Linked DNA regions of Ovis aries. The main gene of each other region encodes a partner of the protein of the gene in region 2 in a complex. Links are inferred from orthologs where the notes say so. Each region holds a gene or a part of one and is shown on either strand. Other genes may lie near its edges.

Region 1 (3,810 bases), on a different chromosome or scaffold from region 2:
GATGGCAAAGGCGGTGGCAAAGACGTGTCTGCTCAGGCCACGGGCAAGAACGTGGGCTGCCTGCAGGAGGCGCTGCAGCTGGCCACCTCCTTTGCCCAGCTGCGCCTGGGAGACGTGAAGAACTGAGAGGGAAGGGCAGGTGCGCCAGGAGGCATCTCCCCCGCTCCCCGACCCAGGCACACCCATCCAGCCAGCTCTCCTTCCACCACAAGGACGTTTGAATCTTGAGACCTTTAAACAGTCCCATCTGTCCTAACCCAGCAGTAACCGGAACTTCACCTGAGAGCCAGCCTGTGACTCAACGCCCATGTTACATTTCTGCCCTGAGCACATCCGTGCCGTCCACCTAGAACTACTACCCCAGGATTGCTTTTTCATCATCACACTTGTGTCTGTAGAGAGTTCTTTGCAGACTCAGTGCTATGGGCCTCAAGGGAAGAATCATTTTCTGCTGCAGAGAATAAAAAGGCCATGTGCAATACTTGACAGGATACCGCCACGTGATTCTTTTACTCCTCCTCCCTTCTCACCCTCCCTCCTGTGATAACTTGTGCTTCCCTGGGTGTCTGTAGACTAGTGGCTGTGGTTCCAACTGGTTTCTGGTTGCGGCCCTTGCTGAGTCCAGCCCCAGACCCCTGAACTTTGAGAATAATGGTGCCTGGATTTGCGTCAAAACATCTATGGGGATGGCTCACAGAATAGGGTGATGAAGATGGTCCCTGGGGTTGCTGGCAGCGGAGAGCGTCTTCGTTTTTGGTGCTTTTTACAGAAGAACATTCTCGTTGATAAGTCTCCTATGTCTTTTCCTCTCCTGATGTACAGGTTGGATGTGAGGTCAGAGACATTCCTTGGTATAGGAGGTTTTTAGGGAACATCAGTTGCCTCCTCCCAACACCCTTGACTGCCAGGTCATTCCAGGTTTCAGGACCTAACTTGGACGGTGAAGATGGAGACTGACCTGGTTCTGTCCATTTACCCCAGCCTGAAGACAGCTGGGTGTGGGAGCTGTAGTGTGTAGTATTTAGTTGTGCCCTCTCTGGCTGACTTCAAGTCCCCTGGGTACAGCAGGCTGGCCCTGAATCATTCTCAGCCCTGCTGACTTGGAGGGAGCAGAAAAGCAGGTTTGTGCTGAGAGAAGAAGCAGAGACCACCAGTCACAAGGCCTGGGGGTGAAGAAGAGGAGAAACAGGAAGGGTGCTGAGGCCCTGGCTGCAAAAAAGCAAGCCAGGTGAGGAGTGTGAGGGATACAAAGCTCACACAGTCCGCAGCGCGGGAGCGAGTTCCAAAAGCACTCCACAAGCTGTGCCAGCCAGGGCGCAGTACCAAAGGGCCCTCTTGGACAAGGCGGCGGGGGAACATGTATACGGTTGTGTCACTAGTGTAGGACCGATTACAGCTTCACAAGTGAGAGGAAGAAGACCCACGCGCTGGGCTTGCGCTGGCGTGAAGGCTAGAGGTCAGCGGGGCCGGTCTAGACCCCACTTCTGCAGGCCCGTCTGATCCACCCATGCACCCAGCTCTGGCCGTCCTCGCGGTGGCCCGGGGCTCCGCGACGCGCACCGTCCCCCTCCGGGGCGGCAGGGGGCGGTGTGGCGCCAGCCGCTCTCCCGCGCACCCTCGCGCGGCCGGGCAGGCGGGCGGAAGCGCCGGCGCGCGGGGCCCCGCTGACCCGCGGAGCCGGCCGGCAGCAGCGCCGCCATGCCCGGGGACCACCGCCGCATCCGCGGGCCCGAGGAGTCGCAGCCGCCGCAGCTGTACGCGGCCGACGAGGGCGAGGCGCCGGCCCCTCGCGACCCGGCACGGCTGCGGCCGGTGTACGCGCGCGCCGGGCTGCTGAGCCAGGCCAAGGGCTCGGCCTACCTGGAGGCGGGCGGCACCAAGGTGCTGTGCGCCGTGTCGGGCCCGCGCCCGGCCGAGGGCGGTGAGCGCGGCGGCGGCCCGGCCGGGGCGGGCGGCGAGGCCCCCGCGGCGCTGCGCGGCCGCCTGCTCTGCGACTTCCGCCGCGCGCCCTTCTCGGGCCGCCGGCGCCGCGCCCCACCGGGCGGCGGCGAGGAGCGCGAGCTGGCGCTGGCGCTGCAGGAGGCGCTCGAGCCGGCCGTGCGCCTGGGCCGCTACCCGCGCGCGCAGCTGGAGGTGTCGGCGCTGCTGCTGGAGGACGGCGGCTCGGCGCTGGCCGCCGCGCTCACAGCCGCCGCGCTCGCCCTGGCCGACGCGGGCGTCGAGATGTACGACCTGGTGGTGGGCTGCGGCCTGAGCCGCGCGCCGGCGCCCGCGCCCGCCTGGCTGCTGGACCCCACGCTGCTGGAGGAGGAGCGCGCCGCCGCCGGCCTCACCGTGGCGCTCATGCCGGTGCTCAACCAGGTGGCTGGGCTGCTGGGCAGCGGGGAGGGCGGCCCGACCGAGAGCTGGGCGGAGGCCGTGCGCCTGGGGCTCGAGGGCTGCCAGCGCCTCTACCCCGTTCTCCAGCAGTGCTTGGTGCGGGCCGCCCGCCGGAGGGGTGCCGCTGCGCCCCTCTGAGCCAGAGACCCGAGCAACGACGGACGCCAAGGACCGACCCGCAGCTGCCGCCACAAGGACCCGCGCCGTCGGCCTGCAGATGCGTGCGCCGAGCTGAGAACCGGGAGCACCGCGGAGGATCTGCGGAGGCGTGCTCAGAATAGCCGTGTTGGAGCGATTCTTTCCAGACTGCTTCGTTAAAGAAACTTTTCTAATTGAGTTGACTCCCAGCCACGATCCAGTTGAAGAAACCTGCCAGCGCATCTTGACTCCTAAGTTGGAAAGGACTTCCGCTGTACTCATCGGGAAAATGATGCCTATGCAGGCCAGCCGGGGGCTCCCTCCTGAATAACTGGGCTGCTTTTGAGAGCGGGGACAAGGAGGCTGTGCCTTCCACGTATATCTGAACCCAAACAAAAACTCTTTTTATAATCTGAAACATTCTGTTGTTTTTGGTACCGACTTTAATGAATAAGGCTCTTCTGAGCTGGGGACTGTGTTCTCAGGGCTTGGGACAAGCATTATCTTTAATGTGTCCTGGGGTTGCTGGTCCACTAGTGAGAGGGCACTTGAACTGCCAGGAGTGAGAGTTTCTGGATGCTGGAGATGCCATTCTGTAGGGCAGAGCGGGTCTGTCTGACCAGGAGGGTGGGCTCTGCCCTGTGTGGCTCCTGAGCCCTGCAGGTTTGTGCTCAGGTCTGAGTTGGCGAAAGGGCCGCCTGGGGTCCTCCCTGCACCAGCTTGGTGTAACCTGAGCTTGTGTGTCTTAGGGGCCTGCTCAGCTGTAGGAAAGGCTGGCTCAGGCAGCTGAGAGACCAGAATGAGGCCTGGGGACCACACCAAGAATCCCTGACTAGGGGGAAAAATACAAATTTTATTTGACCCCAGTGACATAATATATATTTCCAAATCAGATCTGAAATACAGAATCACAGCAGAAAGAAACAAGATAGAAACAAAGTAAAAATGGTAACCCTGTGGACGCTCAAACAGGACTGGGGGCTTTGAGAGGGAAGAGAGCTGACGCTGCTCCGGGGGGGTGGGCATCCAGCTCCGCTTGCAGGAGCGGGCCTCAGCTCTATGAGATGGTGTGCTGGTGCCGGGCAGCTGCGGGCCGCCCCCTTCCCTGCAGCATCTAGACTGCCATCTGGACAAAGCTAAAACCAGCACTAGGGCCGGGTGCCTGGCTGGTCTGGCTGAGCCACGCCTCCATGTCCCTGGCTCCAGAATGGGTGGCGTGGGTGCTGCTGAGAGACCCTTGAGAAAACACTCAAGGCAAGGACGGTGCCTGGAGCTGATGGGCCTGGAGGGGTT
Region 2 (4,846 bases):
GGTTGGATGGCATCACCGACTCAATGGAGATGAGGTTGAATAAACTCCAGGAGATAGTGATGGACAGGGAGGCTTGGCATGCTGAAGTCCATGGGGTCACAAAGAGTCAGACATGACTGAGCGACTGAACTGAACTGAACTGAGCCCCTTCTCCAGGCAAGGAGGAGGGCAAGTGTCTGGCTGTCCACTTACTGATGACCTGTGAGCAATTAGAATCTATATAACTGACTACCTTACAGGGTTGGCTTTCTAGACAAATGTAGTTGTGAGCCACGCTTAGGTGAAAGAAATGCTATCCTTTTGAAGATTTACCAGGCTATTGGTCTGATGGGTCTTCAGGAGAAAACAGACTTAATTTACTGGTCTCAGTGAGTGGTGCTGATGCAAGTTATTTTATTTCATCCTATTTAGAATCCCTGTACTGGGCTGTGCTGTGCTAAGTCACTTTAGTCTTGCCTGACTCTGCGACTCCCGACTCTGAGACTCCACAGACCATAGCCCACCAGGCCCCTCTGTCCATGGGATTCTCCAGGCAAGAATACTGAAGTGGGTTGCCGTACCCTCCTCCAGGGGATCTTTCCGACCCAGGGATTGAACTCGTGTCTCTTATGTTTCCTGCATTGGCAGGCAGGTTCTTTACCACTAGCGCTACCTGGGAAGCCTGCATGAAGAATTATCACCTCCAATTCCCTGAGGTTGAAACTAAGTCTGTTGCGAATGCTATAAAGCATGCAGGGCCAAGGGTGAGGGAGAGGGTAGCACCTGGGGAGAGGGACAAGCGAAATACTCCTGACGCCTAGATAAAACCACATATCCTTCCATCTGTTCATCACTGAACCCTTAGGACAGCTCCTGGCTCATTTCACTGTGTGAGTAAATGTACGCGAAAATCTTTGTATTGTGTCCATTTGTCCTCCCTGACAAAACATACCCGCTTGGCAAGATTTAAATGTGTTCTTAGACGGCTTCTTGCTTTTTCCAAAAGAAATACCAGGGAAATCAGCTCGCTTAAGAAAGAATGGAAACAGCACCTGCAGCACTGTTTGGGGGTGTAGATGATGGTTGGTGCTGAACTAGCACTCACGAAGTGACAGTAATGTAGAATACAGGGGCTACTAGTAACAGTACGAAAAGAGACTCTTTCCTCTGTCCAAATAGTGTTTTCTCCTCTTGATCCTCCTGGTCAATCGCATACCAAAGAAGAGAGATTTCAGCAGCTTTGAATTGGAAGGAAACTCAGAGGCCCACTTCACAATTATTTATAACCCTGGAAAACAGTAAGTGAGATGAGCACAAGAGTTTTGCTGAAAAGTCGAACGCTATGCAACCTGAGATTTTATTATTTGACAAGAGCAGCCTTGCCAATAGTAAAAATGGCAACTTGACTCCTTCCTTCCCTTCGTGTTAACCTAATGGTTGCCAGTAGCCAACATGGAGGCCAGACCGTGAGTTCCCGTTGGCGGCTGTTCTGAGGCCCCGCCCCTATGAGCGACGGCTGGAAATTGCGGAGACGGAAAGCGTGACTCCGAGTGGGGCTGCGCCTGCGCGAGTTATTGGCGCCAAGATGGCGTTGGAGATGAGGCTTCCCGTCGCTCGGAAGCCTCTTAGCGAGAGCCTGGGCCGCGAGAGTAAAAAGCACCTAGTGGTGCCAGGGGACACGATCACCACGGACACAGGCTTCATGCGGTACGTGGGGTTGTGGGGACACTGGGCGGCAGGGGCGGCTGCATTGCTCTCTTTCCGCATCAAACCTGGGCCTGTGTTCTGCATCTAAGTGCTCGCGGTACCCGGGGCGCATCTGGGAGCATCTCAGTTGCCTCGTTTTCGAGGCTTCGGACTTCCTACTTCCTGCTTCTTGTATGTCCCCGTCTGTAGCTGCCTCAGCTCCCCCGAAACCTTCCTGTCCCGATCACTGGTAGCTGTGACTCGTGGGTCCTGTGCCTCAGGCCCCGATTCTGAGGCCTTCCTCGTTGAACCTGCAGCTAGGGCCTCCTCACAGGTTTCGGCGGAAGGGATGGTGGGCGTTTTTGACTTCTTCCACTTAGCCCTCAGCATTCCGTCTCCTAGCCAGGGGCACGGTTTTGGAACGAGCCATTGCTTGGGCTTAAAGAAAGTGAAGTCGCTCAGTCGTGTCCGACTCTTTGCGACCGCATGGACTGTAGCCTACCGGGCTCCTCCGTCAATGGTATTTTCCAGGCAAGAATACTGGAGTGGGTTGCCATTTTGGGCTTAGGGGGCATGCAAATATATTATGTTACATGCACCAGAATAGGTAACTTTGAGTCTGAGGGCAGGCTCCAGCTTAAGGGCAGCTGGGGTTCCGGTCCTGCTGCCGTCACAATATTAGCTGTATCACCTCTCCGAGGTCAGTTTCCTCGTCTGTAAAATAACTATTCCAGAGAATGGTGAGGATTCCATGAAAGTGAAAGTGTGGAAGAGTTAGTCCCTCAGTCATGTCCGACCCTTTACCACCCGGTGAACTGTAGCCCGCTAGATTCCTCTGTCCATAGAATTCTCCAGGCTAGAATACTGGAGTGGGTTGCATTCCCTTCTCCAGGGATCTTCACCACCCAGGGATCCAACCCAGGTCTCTGGCATTGCAGGCAGGTTCTTTACTGTCTGAGCCACCAGGGAAGGATTACATGAGGGGTAATGATTATGAAAAAAAGTAAGACTCACCATTCTATCACCATCACAGTGGTCAACACTACTCATACCTCAGGCAGCCTCTGCCCTCCCCCCATATGCATATGAGAGAGGTACAGCGTTTATTCCATTGCCCTTTAACCTCTTAGTTTGGGATTATTGGTTCCCAGGAAATCTTAAGATTCAGTCCTTTATTCATGCAGTCCATAAATATTATTTGTGGTTGGGGTATAAACTGAACAAAGAGGAAATCTCTGTCCTGGTGGACTTTATGTTCTGAGACAGACAGATGAGAAATAAGCACAACAAACAAGTTATTTAGAATATTTGCTGGTAAATGCAGTAGAAAAGAATAAAGAAGTGAGGCAGGGTAAGTGGAGCATAAGTTGGAAATATGGTGGGGATGGCAGCCGCAGGGCGGGTGACTATTACAAATGGGAGAGTTGAGGAAGGCCTGGTGGAAAAATGCCATTTGAGTCGACTTGAGTACAGTGCAAGAGATGGCCACGTAGGACTCTAAAGAAGGAGTGTTTAGGCAGAGGTGGCAGCCAGCAGAAAAGCCTGTCTTTGAGGCAGGAGGAATCAGATTTGAGGAACACATTGTTCTGGCTGCTAGAGGTCACCTCAAATATTACCCTGGTATCCTTTGTATCTTCCTGTTGCAACAGGGGCCATGGAACCTACATGGGGGAAGAGAAGCTCATTGCATCTGTGGCTGGCTCTGTGGAGAGAGTAAACAAGTTGATCTGTGTAAAAGCTTTGAAAACCAGGTGAGAGCAAAAGGTGTGTATTTTGTGGCATCTGAGTTGCACAGCCAGGTCTTTTCTGCCATGACACACCCCCTACCCCCAGCCCTGCCTGCCCTGTCGTTCTGTAGGGCTGGGATTTCGGGAACATGACTGGAGGAAGGGTAGAGATGACTGTAGGTAAGGGTAGGCTTCAAAGGTTTCCCTACGATATCTGACCTCTTCAAACTTGGGTTCCCTCTCCTGCAAAATGAGACCTTGCCTGACCTCCTGGGTAGGATTTTCCTTGGAATTCACCGAAATAGTGTGTATAAAGTACTTTACACAGAGAGCCGTCTGCCTTGAGGGCTCAGTAAAGGTTAGCCCCAGAACATGAGCCAGTGGGGTTGGAACAGAGTGAGCAGGCGAGTAGTAGGAGCAGATGCAGAGAGGTGAGGTAGGCAGTCTGCATGCCCTGCAGCCACGATAAACGTTTCTGACTTCCACTCTGTGCGGTCTAGGAAGGCCCTGGAGCAGAAGGACCTGATCCGCCGCCCTCTGTTTTAATGGAGTCACTCTGGCTGCTGTTGGGGGCGGGGGTGGGGCAGGGTTAGGGAGCCAGATTCCTGCTCTGTTCTCATCATCTCGGTTGGTGGTGGCTTGGACTAAGGTGATAGCCATAGAAGTGGGGAATAGTGATCAGTTCTGCGTGTATTTCGTGTTCTGCGTGTATTTACTGTGAAAAGCTGTAGGATTTTGTATGTGGGCTTTTCTACACGTAGGACTATGTCTGTGAGAAGAGATCGTTTTATTTCTTCCTTTGGGGTGCTTTTTATTTTCTGCCTACATTGGTAAGGTAGAGGTCTTAGAATCTGCTGCTGGACCTGTCCTGGAGCAGGAGAGAGAGGGGAGGAGGGAGATACACACGGTTCCTCCAAAGACTCCAAGGACTGTGGCTTGAGCAACCGGAGGGGTGGAGTTGCTATTTCCTGGGCCGGTGACAGTTGGGAGAGGATCCATTTGCTATAGTGGAATTGAAGGGGCTGCTAGAAAGCTTTGTTTGAGGTTTCTAACTTACGCAGATTCCTGTTAGGCACGTAAGTGAAGGTGCTGGGTAGCCAGTGGTTGACTAGAGCTAGAGCCTGAATTCAGGGGAATGGTGGACTCATCGGTGGCATTTAAAGCCATCAACTTGGGTAAGCTCACCAAGTGAGTGTGGGCTGGAAAGAGAAGAGGCCCAAGGACTTAGCCTTCAGAGTGGAGGCTCTAATTCATCATTAGAGTTGGGAGGAGGAATTAGGAAAGGGATCCGAGACATGCAGCCAGTGGCTGAGGGAGACGTGAGTAGACCGGTTTGGGAGGTACCTGCCTCACTTTCCTTTCTCCTCCTCTGGCTGATGTGGAACTCGTCTGTGTTCCAGAGCCCACCAGAAAATATCCCTTGCATATCCATTTTTCATGCAGTTAACAAAATA
Region 3 (4,987 bases), on a different chromosome or scaffold from region 2:
TTCTGGCACATAACGACCCCCAACCATACGGTAACACCAGGCCTGGACCACTGGTCCAGGCTTGGTCTTCCTGGTCCGCTGATTCATCTGCTCTGCTAATAGCTGGCTTTGGTCAGTGCGGTCACCACTTTCCATTTGCTTAACTATACCAGGAAACAGAGTGTCTAGAAAGCACACACTTTCTGGGGAGGTGCTCAGGATCTCCCTGGGTAGGGCCAGAACTGCAGACCCGGGAGGAAGTCTTGGAGAGGTCAGGGCTGAGAGGGCGGATGGGCAGAAGGTCCGGAAACCAGGGGACTAAAAGAAGACGGGGTGGGCATGTCCCAGTGAACGCAAGTGCTAGGTTCTGGGCACGCAGGGGGAAGGAGCTCCAAAATAAAAATAAGGAACTGAAGGAAAGGGGGTGTGAAATTCTGGGGTCTAGGCTTGGGGAAGCGTGGTGGAAGGACACGTCAAAGAGCGGACAGCTAGGAGGAGAGCATGCCTGGGGGGCCGCGCCTCCAGGAGCGCAGTGAGCCCAGGTCCGCGTCTGTCCCCAACCCCTCTCCTCACCAGAATCAGGGCCGCGGCGGCCAGCGCCACGCCGAGCACCGCCAGCTGCAGCAAGACCGGAGCCATCCTCCATGCCGGGCCGCCAGCCGCCCTATCCCGCGTTTACACACACGCGGAAATGCGGCCGCGCAGCCCCGCCTCCAGCCCGCAGAGAGGCCATGCCAGCTGGGCGCCCGCCGCCCACAGCGCCACCTCGCGGCCAGACCCGGTCACGCCCGGGGACCCGCGCTGCCCACAGCGCCACCGCGTGACGAGACTATGTTGTGTGCGAGCGGCTCTGTTCAAACGCAGTAGGGTTGTCAAAATCAGCAAGGAGAAATAAACGGATGTCCACTTAAATTGAATTTCAGATAGCAACGGATCGGTTTTCAACAGCACTATTAAAGTATAACACACACTCAAAGTTCGCCCATTTAAGAGCTTTTTGTTATATTAACTTTGAAAAACTGATCAAATTTCCCATTTTAACCAGTTTATGTGTCTACTACAGGGACATTGACTGCACTCACAGCTTCCTGCAACCATCACTACCGCCTCTTGCTAAACCTTTCCCAGTTCTCCCCCAGCTTCTGGTAACAACTAACAACATGAACAATTTTGCGTGTACTCTTTGTTCACCTGACATTCAAATTGAATTGGATGTCCTGCGTTTTATCAGCAACCCTTTCTAGGAAGGAGGTGGAGTGGAGGTTTTGAGCCACGACACAGTCTACAACGAAAGTTGTTTCTTTGGAGCCCACTCTTGGCAGCTGCGTAATGTAACCTGATGTGGATAACCAGCGCACAGAATTTTTAAATTTTCGGTGCTCTAGCAGGAGGCTTTTACCTGGAAGAAGGCAAGCCCAGGGCTCAGCCTAAGGAGGAGGGGGAAAGAACGCGGAAACACTGGAATAATGCTCCACGCTCAACACTTGATTTTTTGCTATACCGTCGGTTTTCTCTGAAACTTTTGAATGGTGGGCTTCCTTGGTGGTTCAGCGATAAAGAATCCGCCTTCAATGCAGAAGACGCAGGAGACATGGGTTCCACTCCTGGTTTGGGAAGATCTTCGCAGTTTAGTATTCTTGCCTGGAGAATTCCAAGGACAGAAGAGGCTGGTGGGTTATAGTCCATCGGGTCGCGAAAAGTCTGATTCTACAGAAGAGACTAAGCACGCACGCTTGAACTATCAAACTGTTTCTAAACAAACACTCATAACTTTCGTAAAAGCCGATTCGCCAAAAACGTCAAGGTCAAGAAAACCTAAAGGGGCGACTGGCTAGGGGTGGTCGAAGCGAAGCCATGCGGGAAACCACCCTCACCTCTTCTACCTCTACTCTGGTCCATACAACCCTGCCTTCTACATATCAGGTAGCAGAATCAGTGTTGAAAGTGCTGAAGCGAAACAGCAGCGCGGGCCGGAGGGGTGGTGATACGCAGGCGCGGGCGCGGGCGCAGGCGCAGATCGGCGGGCGGAAGATGGCGGCTGGGTTCAAGTGAGTGCGGTAGGCTGGCGGGCGCGAGTTCGTAGCCTGGCGGTCGGCGGCTTCCCTACCCTTGGGATTTTCTCATCGGGAGGCCACCCCACCTGGTTCCCATTTGTTTCCACTGCAGAAGGAGACGTTGGGCGGGAGAACTGAAGGTGGTCGTAGTGAAGGGAAAGGGCGCATCTTCTCCCCAGTGATAGGAAGTACTGTGTTGAGCAGGTACCCGCTGCGAGCGCTAGGCTTTGTGTGTAGTGGACTTTGCTGCACAGGAGAGACACTTGTAATCTTGTAGAAAGCGTTGCTTCAAAACCTCAGGGCGCCCTGCTTTCTCTGCCCAGTAGTTTATGTGTAAAAGCATTCTGCCTCGTTAGAAAGGTTTTCCTTAAGCGTTTTCGGTGCTGCTCTCTGGGGAAGGCTATAGCTTTTCGTTCTGAGTCGAGTTTTAAATGGATGCAATAAATAGGATTCCAAAGGAAACCAGTTATATTGAAACGACCATGTATTTGTATAAACTCCGGGTTTTTGACACAGTGAAATATCTGTTTTGAAATTAACTTTCTTAGATAAGGCCTAGTGGGAAGTCTAAAGTAACTCCTGAAATTCGAAGTAACGATACGTCTTACACTTACCATAAAGTCAGGTCGCTCAGTCGTGTCCGACTCTTTGCGGGTCCCATGGACTGTAGCCTGTCAGGCTCCTCCATCCATGGGATTTTCCAGGCAAGAGCGCTGGAGTGGATTGCCATTTCCTTCTCCAGGGGATCTTCCCGACCCAGGAATCGAACCTGGGTCTCCCGCATTGCGGGCATACGCTTTACCGACCTTAGGCAACTATAAAGTAAAAACGAAAACATCTTAATCTGTGGTTGTTAAAGTCGCAGGTACGGCTAATATTATAGTGGTTTATTGCCTATGCTTGTAATCGAAGAATATGCTAAATTTAAGTCGGGGTAGTGAAAATAAATGCGTAATTTTTTTTTTTTTCCTACTAACGAAGTATTCCTGCTTCAAAGTATGAGTGATGCACACCTGGATTCATTCTCTTTTTAAAGAGGCCTAGGGTTTTGGTCTCGATCCTTATACTTGTTTAAAGCAGAATTAAAATCAGTCTTCGAGTGTGATTGTTATTGCAAAAGTAGCTACTTTTTATAATTAGCAACATGTGGCAACATAAACTAGAATTCATAACAGAAACTTAGTTACAAATTTTGGAGATTTCTGCTCCATCACCCCACTATTAAGATTGTTGTGTTTCTGGATTTATATTGATTTATAATTTATCTCATTTTTCTCATGTCTTTCAGAACTGTGGAACCTCTGGAGTATTACAGGAGATTTCTGGTAAGTAAAGGTGATTATGTGATGCCCTTTGATAATGGTATCATATGCTTTTTTCATAAATACAAGTATTAATCATGTTATTCACCTAATGTTCTAAGTATACTTCAGTTTTTAAAAGACAATTTTAAAGTAATACAGATTAATTTATTTGAATTAATGAGGTTCAGTGTGTTTTCCTTGGTCTGTGTAAGATATACATGTAGCTGTAATCTACTTTCATATATTTACTTAGAAAGAGAATTGCCGTCCCGATGGCAGAGAACTTGGTGAATTCAGAACCACAACTGTCAACGTAGGTGAGAGTACTTTGAGTTCTAAAAGAATGTTGAAGTTGCTTCAGTTCTGAAAATAGAATTTTTTTTCTTAATAGCAACTTTTTATTTGTAGAGTTTTTTTTAACTCACTCTCCTCTCATTAGTGGGCTTCCCAAATGTCTTGGTGCATCAAGAATCTACCTGCAATGCAGGAGACAGGTTTGATCCTTGGGTGGGGAAGATCTCCAGGGGAAGGAAATAGCAACCCACTGCAGTATTCTTGCCTGGAAAATCCCATAGACAGAGGAACCTGGCAGGCTACAGTTCATGGGGTCACAAAAGAGTCACATACGACTGAGCAGCTAAGCACATCCTTTCAGTTTTTATGTTCATATTAAATTTTAAAGTAACTCTGAAGTGTTTTCCCCCTTCAAAACTTGTAAGGTTTGGTTTCCTTCTATATCTTACATTATTAAATCTTCTGTTGCCAAACATGGAATTTTCCAATTTTACCCATATGACATTCCCAGGTTTTAGCCTCTGAGCCATTTAAACGGTGTTTTAGACAAATTCTACCAGGTCTAAGGGATTACAGTGATTTTTGTCAAGAAATTTTAATAACAGCCCTGTGATTAAATGACAAATGATTCACTCAAAATCAAGAAAATGAATAATTCCTAAAACAATTCGGTTGACCCTTGAACAGTGAGGGGGTTAGGAGCACTGACCTTCACAGAGTTGAAAATCCAAGTATAATCTTACCGTTATGGATTGGCACTCCGTATCCAAGGTTCAGCATCCTTAGATTCAACCAACTGTGGATCACGTAGTACTGTGGAAGTATGTATTGAAAATAATCTTTGTATAAGTGGACCTGTATAGTTCAAGCCCATGTTGTTTAAGGGTCAACTATAATTTTACCAAGACTCAAGCAAGGAGTAAATTTTCACGGACATCTTAGATATTTAGAGATAAAAATCATACATAAAAGAAGAAAACATTTTCATTTTAAAAAAATACTTTTCAGGTTCGATTGGTACCGCAGATGGTTCTTCTTTAGTGAAGCTTGGAAATACTACAGTAATTTGTGGAATTAAAGCGGTAGGTTTAATATACTTACTACCAAGATTTGAGTTACTAAGTTAGCTTCATATACTTAGTAGATTATAATATACATCTATAATTCTACTGTTGATTGGGCAGTCAGGTGTTTTAGTATTTGTTTTCATTTCCCAAGTTTTAACCTTTGAGTTTTAGATAATACAACCCAAGTTTAATGACTTAATTATAATTTGTGAACATTTGCAAATCTGCTGAAACAATTTTTTAAAAAATCCTCACTGCCTTTAATTTTTAAAGAATTTGGCTGTAATTT
Region 4 (4,141 bases), on a different chromosome or scaffold from region 2:
TTGAGGCTCAACAGGGCAGGAGCCCTGAGCAGGCAGAGCCTTTGGTTCAGCAGCTCAGCCTTGGAATGTGGCCGCGGTTTGGGTGCGAGAGGCAGAGGCCCAGAAATGGGCATTTCTAGACAGCTTTGTGCGTGGGTATGGCCCTGCACTGGGCAGATACTTCACAGATGGGGGAAGAGGCGCACTGTGAACCCATTTCACAGATGGGAGATAACGGAGGGTCAGTGGCAGAGGTGGGGCTGGCTGACTGTAAAGCTGGGCCCTGGGGAGGAGAGGAAACTGAGCTGGGGCTGGCTGGCTGACTCAGGCCTGTGCTCACCCTGCACAGGGCCAGGGCCGCACCTCTCCCCTGGACTGCGGGCTCCCTGAGGACACTGACTCCTCCCTCCGTCATCCTGCCAGCCTGCCACCCGGTAGCACTGCTTGCTCGATTCCCCAGCCCCAGGCCTGGCTCTGCCACTGCCTCCTTGTTTTATCTTGAAAGGCTTCTGACCTTTGTTTCCCCGAAGGTGCATACCTGCCGAATATCATTGTGATCCCTGACTGAGGCTGAGAGAGAGTAAGTAGCTTGTTCAAGGTCACACAGCCTAGGGGTGGCAGTTCACGTTTGGAACCCAAGGATACTAGATCCCAGGATTACTCTGCCTTTCTGTGATCAGTTAGCTGTCTAGTGTTCACAGGCACTGGCTTGGTGAACCAGAGGCATGGATGTATTCTGCTGACCAACCTTCGGTAGAAACTCTTAACATGGGAGTTCCCTGGCAATCCAGTGGTTGGGACTCTGCGCTGTAACTGCTGAGGGCCTGGGTTCAGTTGCTGGCTGGGGAACTAAGATGCCACAAGCCACATAGCGTGGTCAAAGAAAAAAAAAGGATGAAAAAAGAAACTTAACCACGGCCTGTGGCACTCAGCTCCTGGCCTGCTGCCTGAATGCCGCCTGCATGGCCCTGGTGGACGCCGGTGTGCCCATGCGGGCCCTCTTCTGTGGGGTCACTTGTGCTCTGGACTCTGATGGGACCCTCATGCTAGACCCTACTGCTAAACAGGAAAAGGTAAGTGTGAAGGGCGGGGTGGTGAAAGGCCCTGGGCAGGCACCCTCCCTCTCCTCCTCTGGGCCTCACTTCTCCAAAACAGTTGGCTGGTACCACCTCATTTGCTCAGCCAGCTAGCTCTGCTCTGTTCCTCTGGGCAATTGCTAGAAACCCAGCTCTAACCTGCTGAAGCGACAAGGGAGTTGATTTTAAGAGGTTCAAAACCAAAAACAAATCTTAGAGTTTCTTCTTCAGTGGCTCAAGTTCACAATGTGCTGGGGCTCCAGTTATTCCCAGTTATCTGCTCAGGACTGTGACAGTCACTTCCAGTCAGGAAAGCGGAAAGAAACCCCTTGGGAGCTTCAGATGTGGGGGGAGGGGAGTGGAATTGAATGCAGGGAACTGGTCACAACAGCCATGTTGAAAGAGCTGAAGAAGCAAAAGGGAAGAAGGGAGGACCCCCCAAGACGAGAAACCTGAGGCCAGCTCCTACCGGGCACTGTTGGGGACATGGGCGCAGTCAGATCTAGATGAAAACAGAGACAGTCTGGCTCTGGCCTGGCTGCTGAGGTCCGCAGCCACCCCATCTCCATGACAACTGTGGTGGGTGATACGCCCCAAACTCCTGTGAGGACCCAGATCCTGTGAGGACCCAGATGCTGCTTTCTGCTTCCTCTCGTCTCCCACCAGATTCCCACTAGAACCAAACTGGCAGGGGAACCTGGGAAATAGAGCTTGCTGGCTTCCAGCCCCAGAGAGCAGAGCACTGCTGGGAGGCACTGAGGGATGACCATCACCGTGGCTGCCCCTCTGGTGTGGAATACTGTGCTTTGGAAGCCCCTGTCGGAGCCACGTGGTGGGATCATGTGAGGAGCGATTACGCAGGGGGGGGGTGATGTGTAGACTCCCCTCAAAAAATACACTTGCTACGTGAGGGCCTGGCTGCAGGAAAAGCAACCATCCCCCCCCCCCCCACCCACACACACACACACACACCCGCTTTGGGGCCAGCTGAGATTGTATCTGAGGGGAGGGTCCCAGGTCTTCCACCTTGTACCTCTTGTTCCTAGGAGGCCCGGGCAGTCCTGACTTTTGCCCTTGACAGCGTGGAACGGAAGCTGCTGATGTCCACCACCAAGGGGCTCTACTCTGACGCCGAGGTATCACTGCATAATTGGGGGTGAACACCAGGCCCTTTGCGCCCCCCTGACACGAGGTCTGGTCACTATTCTAAGAGGCGTAAGGGGAACCCCTTCCTTGCACCCCTTCTGCAAATAGGTTTTAAACTTTGTGGCCATAGAATCCTTTGTGGGAATTTTAAAGGGAAGCCCAGTTGATGAGAAGAGGGGCTCAGGTGGAAATCAGGACACGGGGCACTTGAAGGCCTCCCAGCTTCCAGCTCAGAGCTGTGCACCCTGGAGTTCGGGGTGTCTGAACAGAGTTTGGCACCTATTGGGCCAAATGGTCACCAAGAACATTTACCACCTGGCCCTCCTGTGAAAACATGTATATGCGGCAGTAAAGATTCGGGGTCTTGAGTTCCATGGCTTTTAAGAGTATTTGGAGTCACAGGGCCTCTGGGTCTAAAATTCCAGTCTCTCTGGAACCTGGGAATGCTTCCGGGAGCAGGATGCCTGACACTGTTGGTCCGAGGGCCTGGAGCTGTTTAATCAGCCCTGAAGCCTCCTCTAACGAGGCCATGAAGTGGGGAAGACGGGAATGCATGTGGAGTAACCCCCTCACCACCACCCTCCCCTGGGGAGAGGGACTCCTGGTGAAAGGGGAGGTGTTAGGTTTGGGGGGCTCTGGGAGTCAGGTGGGGCCCCCGGCACTGACCACCCCTGCTCCCCCCCGCTCCCCTCCCAGCTCCAGCAGTGCCTGGCTGCAGCCCAGACTGCCTCCACACACGTCTTCCGCTTCTACCGGGAATCGCTGCAGAGGCGTTACTCCAAGAGCTGAGGCAAGCCAGGGCAGGCCGCCCCTCCCGCCACCTCCAGCGTCAAAGAAGCCAGCAGGCCGGCCCTGCCGAGAAAAGAGTGGCTATAGCCGGCCCCCTGGGCATGGGGGACCCCACCCCACTCCAGGAAGGCACTGGTAGGGTAGTGCATTCACTGAATGAAGCTACTCATTCTAACAGCCCCATGAAGCCGACTGCAGTTAGAGTGTGCAAGCCCTGCTGGGTGCTAAGGCGTCAGCAGTGAGTGAGGCCCAGGTTTGAGGAACGGTGAGGTGATAGACAAATAACAGTAGTGTGTGTTGGATGGTGGATGGTATTTAAAAAATAAAAAAATTTTTATAAAGGGGTTTAGGTGAGTTCATGGTGGGGGAAGGGGACACCCTCGTGGAGAGGGAGCATCTGAGGGAAGTCCAGGAGGAGGCCAGGGATGAGCTTAGGGACTCATGGACACGTGGCGGGGAGGACCCCTTGGCAGAGATAGGCAGAGGTTCAAAGACCAGCAAGATGGCTGGTGCAGCTGGAGCAGAGGAAGGGAGGGCAGGAGGGAGGAAATGGTCAGGGAGACAACAGGGTTCGTGTGCCTTGGAAGGCAATCTGCCTCTGAGCACTGCCTTTATCCAGCAACCCCCTGAGGTGGGGCTGTTATGGTCCCTATTTTAAGGTAAGGAAACAAACTTAGGAGCCAGTTAACTGGCAGAGGTCACTAGCTAGTTAGTGGTGGAACATGGGTCCCTCCTCAGAGTCCAGACCCAGAGCCCCACTATTCAGACCCCAAGAGAGTCAGCACACTCTGGACCTCAGGTCCCTGACAGTGAACGGAAGTGACTGAGGCCTGTTGGTTCTCAGTCGGGTAGTAGCACCGCATAAGGGGCTTCTGGAAAGAGGTATATTTTCAGTTCTGATTTGACTGATTCCCACAGGTGGGCCACATGCCTGCCAGATCCTGTCTGCCACTGACATCTGGGGGGTTATGGTAAAAATGACAGGTTGGGGAAGGGGGTCCTTTGCTGCAGCTTCAAACGGGTGCACTGACTCACACAGTTGGCCCTTTGGGCAGGTGTCATTTTCATCTCCACTAACCAAGGAAATGCATAAATAGCTTGAGATTACACTCTGTGAAAACAGTCAGGAGAGTATAGACAGCGAATAATGT
Region 5 (4,693 bases), on a different chromosome or scaffold from region 2:
CTCTGAAGGTGCTCCCACTGGCACTGACCGGTCTAACAGCCGTGGTAGGATGTGAGGGGGCTTCCGCAGAGAGGCCAAGGGGTTGGTGGGTCCATTCCTATGGATGTCAATAACCAAAACCAGCCGAGTGGAATCAGGCATGTGTCCAGAACCAAGATCACTGGGGTCCGATGACCACAGGGAAGAAGGTGCATGAAACTACTGGCCAAGGGGTTTCAAAGGAGCTGGGGTGTGTTGAGTAGAAAGTGGGAAGCACCCCTGTCTGGGCCAGGAGGTGCCTGGGATATTAGAGAAGGAGCAGCCCCTTGGTTCAGGCTGCAGGGCCTGGTGGTGAGGGCTCAGTCAAGTCTGAGGTGGAAGAAGGGGGAGCCTGAAAGAGGAAGGTGCAGTGGTGGGGCAGCAGGCAGTGTCTGTCTTAGGGTCAGGACTGAGAAGACGCCAGGTGACATTATGTGTCTGTTGTACTTTTGGAGCCCAAGGGAAGTAGCAGGACAGGCCCAAAAGGCTTCTAGAGGGCAAGAGACCCTTCAGTCCCAGCCACAATCCAGAGGATGTGGGACACGGCCCCCACATGACCATAGTGAATACCCAAAGCCACCCCTCAGGACTTGTGCTCAGGACTCTGGATGTGTTGGGATGAGAATGACAGACTCCATGGTCGTGGGGCATGGCTCGTTATACCAGGCTGTGTCTCACTGCCCAGCAATCCCTTCTTGGCCCAGGCTGCTCACTTCATCCAGGGACATCCGCCTTCTTCAGGGTGCTCACCTGAAGCACCCTGATGAGCAGGGTGAGCAGCACTGAGGCTGCAAGGGGTGTGTAGTGCATGTCTTGGGGGCGGACCCTTAGTCATTGCTAGAGCCAGCACCAGGCCAGGATCCAAGGGCAAGGAAGTGCGGTGGGGAAGAGATAAAAGTACAGTGAAAGGTGCTTAGGTTTTATTCTGGGCTTGGGTGGCCCTGTGCTCAGTCCCCCAGCAAGACAGAGGCCTCTTGTACATGCTGCCGGACCACACGGTCCAGTACGGTATGTACATCCCGGGAAGCCCGGGCAGCGGCCTCTAGCACTTGCTCCAGGTGGTCCTCATGCAGTCTGGCATCCATCTCAAGCAGTGCAATCTGGCCTGAGGCTGGTAGCAAGGCCAGGGCCAGCTGGGGGCCCCCAGCTGCTTCCTCCACATGGCTGAGGTCTGCCAAAGCTGTTCCATCCACAAAGCCAGCTGAGCAGGCACACACAAAGTCCCGCATGGGTATCCCCGCGTCCAACACTGCCAGCGTGGCTGCATTCACACAAGCTGCGTAGGTCCCGCCGTCTGCCTGCAGCACCTGCAGGAACCCCCCAGTGGCATGAGTTTCAAGCTGCTGAACCCCAACTCCTCCTTTCTCTCTCCCCTCCACAGGCTGAGGGCTGCTGCCTGCTCACCTGCACATAGATGTCAATCTGGGAGCGTGGGTGCAGCTGTGTAAGGATGGCTGCCTCGAAGGTCTGACGCAGGTGCAGACCCATCTCACAGGACTTGCGGTCCCCGTGTGGCCGCCGCTTGCGCTCCCCTGTGCTGAAGGTTGCAGAACTGTACTGACAGTTCACCAGGGCCCGGTCAGGCAGGGCTCGTGCCCGGGAGCCTCTGATCTGGGGTAGGGTGGGGGAGAACACATGAGCCAGGCCCTTCCTCCCTCTACCTCCAACATCCCAACAAGCAACCACTTTACCTGCAAAACAACACAGCCCGAGGGAGGGCCATTGGGCCAGGCTCTAAGCCACCATCGTCCCTGGATCTCTCTCCTGACAGGCCTCCCTGTTTCCCCTCTTGACTCGTCCTCTCTCGACCCCATGCTTCCTTTGTATGAGAATCTGTTTACATATATCAAGTCTGATTCTACCTCCTCTGCACAATACATATACTGCTTACCTTATAAAGAGTTCCCATCACGCGTGAGATAAAAATCCTAAATCTTTTCCCTGTTTACAAAGGTCCTGGGTTCCTGCTTCCCTAGAAATCCCTCAGTCTCATTTGGAATTACCACCCTCTTCCCCATCACCAGTCTTTCTGCTCTGCAAGAGTGCCATGCTTACTTCTACCTCTCTGGCCTTAAGTCTCCAGCGCTGGAGTGGTGATAAACCCAAGCGGTTTTATTAACACTCTCTGTCTTCACGGAGTTTATGTTCCAGTGAGGAGACAAACAGTGAGAAATAAGTTAAACTGATGTCTGAGGAGGCGGGTGCGGGAAACCAGATAAGTGTGTGGATGTAAAGGAGGGAACTTGACTTGTAAAGGGTAGGTAAGGTGGTCTGGGGTGGGATGGGGTGAGGTGTCACCCAGAGGTGACGTCGGAGTGGAGCTGAGAGGTGAGGGAGCCAGTGAGAGCGGCCCTGGCGGTTTTAGGAGTAACAAAGCGGTGTAGCGAGCGCTGGAGAAAGGCAGGGACCGTCGTGCAAGACACTGTTAGGACTTTGGCCGCGGCCCCACAAGGCGGCGCGCGCCAGCCTCACCCCCGAGGCCTCTACTCAGCCAGGTAGCCCCTCACAGCCCGTAGTGGCCACCCCCGGAGGAAGCCCGGCTCGCGCGCGCCCACTCGCCTCGTGAGGCCCGTAGACCACCGCCAGCGCCTTGGTATTGCCCTGTTCGATGTAGGCCGAACCGTCGGCCTGCGCGAATACACCCATCCGCGCCTGGATCTTGCGCAGCTCCCCAGCGCGCCGCCCGTCCACTCGGTAGCCCTGGTCCGATAGGAGCTCCAGCCCAGCCATGCCGCCCGGGCGCTAGCCAGGCTTGAGCGCCCGGCAGAACTACACTTCCCGGTAGAATTGACTCCCCACTTCCGATTCCCCAGGACTACGGTTTCCGGGGCACCGACTCCGACTTCCGGTTCCGGACCCCTGCGATTCTCCCAGAGTTCCCGAGGGCACCACATCTCATTTCCGGTCCTTGCGGAACTGCGGCTGTGGGCCCGGGGAGGGACCCTTGCGGCCTTTTGGGGTACGCACTCGCGCCTGCAGGGCTGGAGGCATGCCGGACGTGGAGTCGCCGTGTCGTTTCTTCCCGGGTTGGTCATGGGGACGGCTCCCTCTACCATCCGGGCCTGCCCGCCCCGCGCCGCCGCCTCTCCCTCGGCCTCTCCACTGAGCCCCGCGCTTCCCGCGCCGCTGGCGCTCCTTTACTTCTGCTTGACGCTTGGTATCTCCCTCGAGGTTTGCGGGCGATAGCCGCCACTGCTGGTCTTAAGTTCTTCCGCGGTCATAAATGCAGGCCTTCTCCCAAGCTGAGATACACTCTCTGTTCGCAGTTGTTTTTTTTTTTTCTTTAAACCGTTTAGTTTTTACATTTGTCCGTTTAAAAAGCAGACACATTTATGTTGTACGTACACATGGTCAAATTTTTTAGTTTCAATTTTCCATGTTGCCTTGTTTCTCTGCACTCATCCCCCTATCTACTATAGCTTAAAAAATGGCTCCGTTTTTCTTCACACTCATAATTACATCCAGGTCACACACAGACACGTGTATATGCAGCTGTACATGTACAGCCATATAGTGGCCTTTGGAACTCTTATTTTTTAAAATGCGATTGTTTCATACACTTTTGCATTTAACTCAAAAATATAAAATCTGTCCAAGTAATCCTGTGGAACTCATAGTTTTTTGGTTGATACGAGTATCAAGTAATAAGTAGAATGTACCCAGCAACCACCCCATTGTGGGCAGTGGATGTGTGTCCCGGGGTTGAGTGAAGGCTGTGTGGGAGTTAGATTCTCCGTCCTTTCCCACCTGGAATAAATGTTAAAAGTTTTTTACATAATCCTTCCCTCTTCAGAGGGTTACTGCCATTCCTCTTGCATTTCGTGGCCTGATGTCAAATGCCCTGGAACAGCAGAGGGGCTCACAGGAGGGGGGATGAGATGTTTTCCTCCACAGCTGCCTCCTGTTTCCAGATACCATTTGCTTGGTGGTCAAGGTCACCATCAGGGAGCTCATTACCCTCCTCATTTGCATTATTCGGGCTTCTCTGGTGGCTCGGCTGGTAAAGAATCTACCTGCAGTGGAGGAGACCTGGGTTGGGAAGATCCCCTGGAGAAGGAAATGGCAACCCACTCCAGTCTTCTTGCTTGGAGAATCTTATGGACAGAGGAGACTGGCGGGCTATAGCCCATGGGGTTGTAAGAGTCAGACACAACTTTAGGGCATTATTCAGCCCCTCTGCAGTGCTTAGAAACCAGATCCCATGCTTCAGGTTTGAATAGGGAAGGATAAATCAGCAGGGCTGTGACACTGACTATAGGGAGGCGACATTCACTGGGGCTGAGGGCGGTGTGCACTCGGGGCTTTCCTGTCTGTGGTCATTGGTGACTGGCGATGACTGGCATTGTCGTGAAGCCTTCCTCCTTCACGTCTTTGGTGGCAGGTGGTGGCTGTTGGCCAGGGCTCAACTGAGGCTCTGAGAGAGAGCACATCTTCATGTGGCCTCTCCATCCAGCCTGGGCTTCCGCAAAGCACGGCACCAAGGTGGACTCCCAAGACAAAGTGGGTGTTTGTGGCGTTCTAAGACCTAGCCTCCAGAAGTCAGGTAGTGTCACTCTTGCCAGACTGTGGGTCAAGGCAGTCACCAAGGTCTGCCAGGCTCAAGGGGAGATGACATGGTCCTCCCTCCCCGCCCACAGGAGCAGTTCAGTGTCAAGTTGTGGGAAGAGCAAGTGGA

What was found.
Region 1: EXOSC2 (region 2) and EXOSC6 share a complex: the UniProt entries of both Homo sapiens proteins name them as parts of the RNA exosome core complex. The link is inferred for Ovis aries from reciprocal best matches to the Homo sapiens genes EXOSC2 and EXOSC6.
Region 3: EXOSC2 (region 2) and EXOSC8 share a complex: the UniProt entries of both Homo sapiens proteins name them as parts of the RNA exosome core complex. The link is inferred for Ovis aries from reciprocal best matches to the Homo sapiens genes EXOSC2 and EXOSC8.
Region 4: EXOSC2 (region 2) and EXOSC5 share a complex: the UniProt entries of both Homo sapiens proteins name them as parts of the RNA exosome core complex. The link is inferred for Ovis aries from reciprocal best matches to the Homo sapiens genes EXOSC2 and EXOSC5.
Region 5: EXOSC2 (region 2) and EXOSC4 share a complex: the UniProt entries of both Homo sapiens proteins name them as parts of the RNA exosome core complex. The link is inferred for Ovis aries from reciprocal best matches to the Homo sapiens genes EXOSC2 and EXOSC4.

What each region holds. Positions count from the first base shown.
Region 1 is NC_056067.1:1,305,058-1,308,867, forward strand, and holds EXOSC6 (exosome complex component MTR3), read left to right. Parts: upstream 1-1,655; 5' UTR 1,656-1,698; coding exon 1,699-2,517; 3' UTR 2,518-2,935; downstream 2,936-3,810. UniProt on the Homo sapiens protein: Non-catalytic component of the RNA exosome complex which has 3'->5' exoribonuclease activity and participates in a multitude of cellular RNA processing and degradation events.
Region 2 is NC_056056.1:5,933,256-5,938,101, reverse strand, and holds the start of EXOSC2 (exosome complex component RRP4), read left to right. Parts: upstream 1-1,547; 5' UTR 1,548-1,564; coding exon 1,565-1,686; intron 1,687-3,314; coding exon 3,315-3,416; intron 3,417-4,846. UniProt on the Homo sapiens protein: Non-catalytic component of the RNA exosome complex which has 3'->5' exoribonuclease activity and participates in a multitude of cellular RNA processing and degradation events.
Region 3 is NC_056063.1:24,979,734-24,984,720, reverse strand, and holds the start of EXOSC8 (exosome complex component RRP43), read left to right. Parts: upstream 1-1,985; 5' UTR 1,986-2,010; coding exon 2,011-2,027; intron 2,028-3,321; coding exon 3,322-3,358; intron 3,359-3,590; coding exon 3,591-3,654; intron 3,655-4,639; coding exon 4,640-4,713; intron 4,714-4,987. Other genes in the region: ALG5 (dolichyl-phosphate beta-glucosyltransferase), read right to left, coding at 553-618. UniProt on the Homo sapiens protein: Non-catalytic component of the RNA exosome complex which has 3'->5' exoribonuclease activity and participates in a multitude of cellular RNA processing and degradation events.
Region 4 is NC_056067.1:50,085,973-50,090,113, reverse strand, and holds the end of EXOSC5 (exosome complex component RRP46), read left to right. Parts: intron 1-911; coding exon 912-1,052; intron 1,053-2,101; coding exon 2,102-2,191; intron 2,192-2,897; coding exon 2,898-2,990; 3' UTR 2,991-3,331; downstream 3,332-4,141. UniProt on the Homo sapiens protein: Non-catalytic component of the RNA exosome complex which has 3'->5' exoribonuclease activity and participates in a multitude of cellular RNA processing and degradation events.
Region 5 is NC_056062.1:13,709,883-13,714,575, forward strand, and holds EXOSC4 (exosome complex component RRP41), read right to left. Parts: upstream 2,808-4,693; 5' UTR 2,749-2,807; coding exon 2,578-2,748; exon of another isoform or gene 1,630-2,577; coding exon 1,423-1,629; exon of another isoform or gene 1,400-1,422; intron 1,326-1,399; coding exon 966-1,325; 3' UTR 917-965; downstream 1-916. UniProt on the Homo sapiens protein: Non-catalytic component of the RNA exosome complex which has 3'->5' exoribonuclease activity and participates in a multitude of cellular RNA processing and degradation events.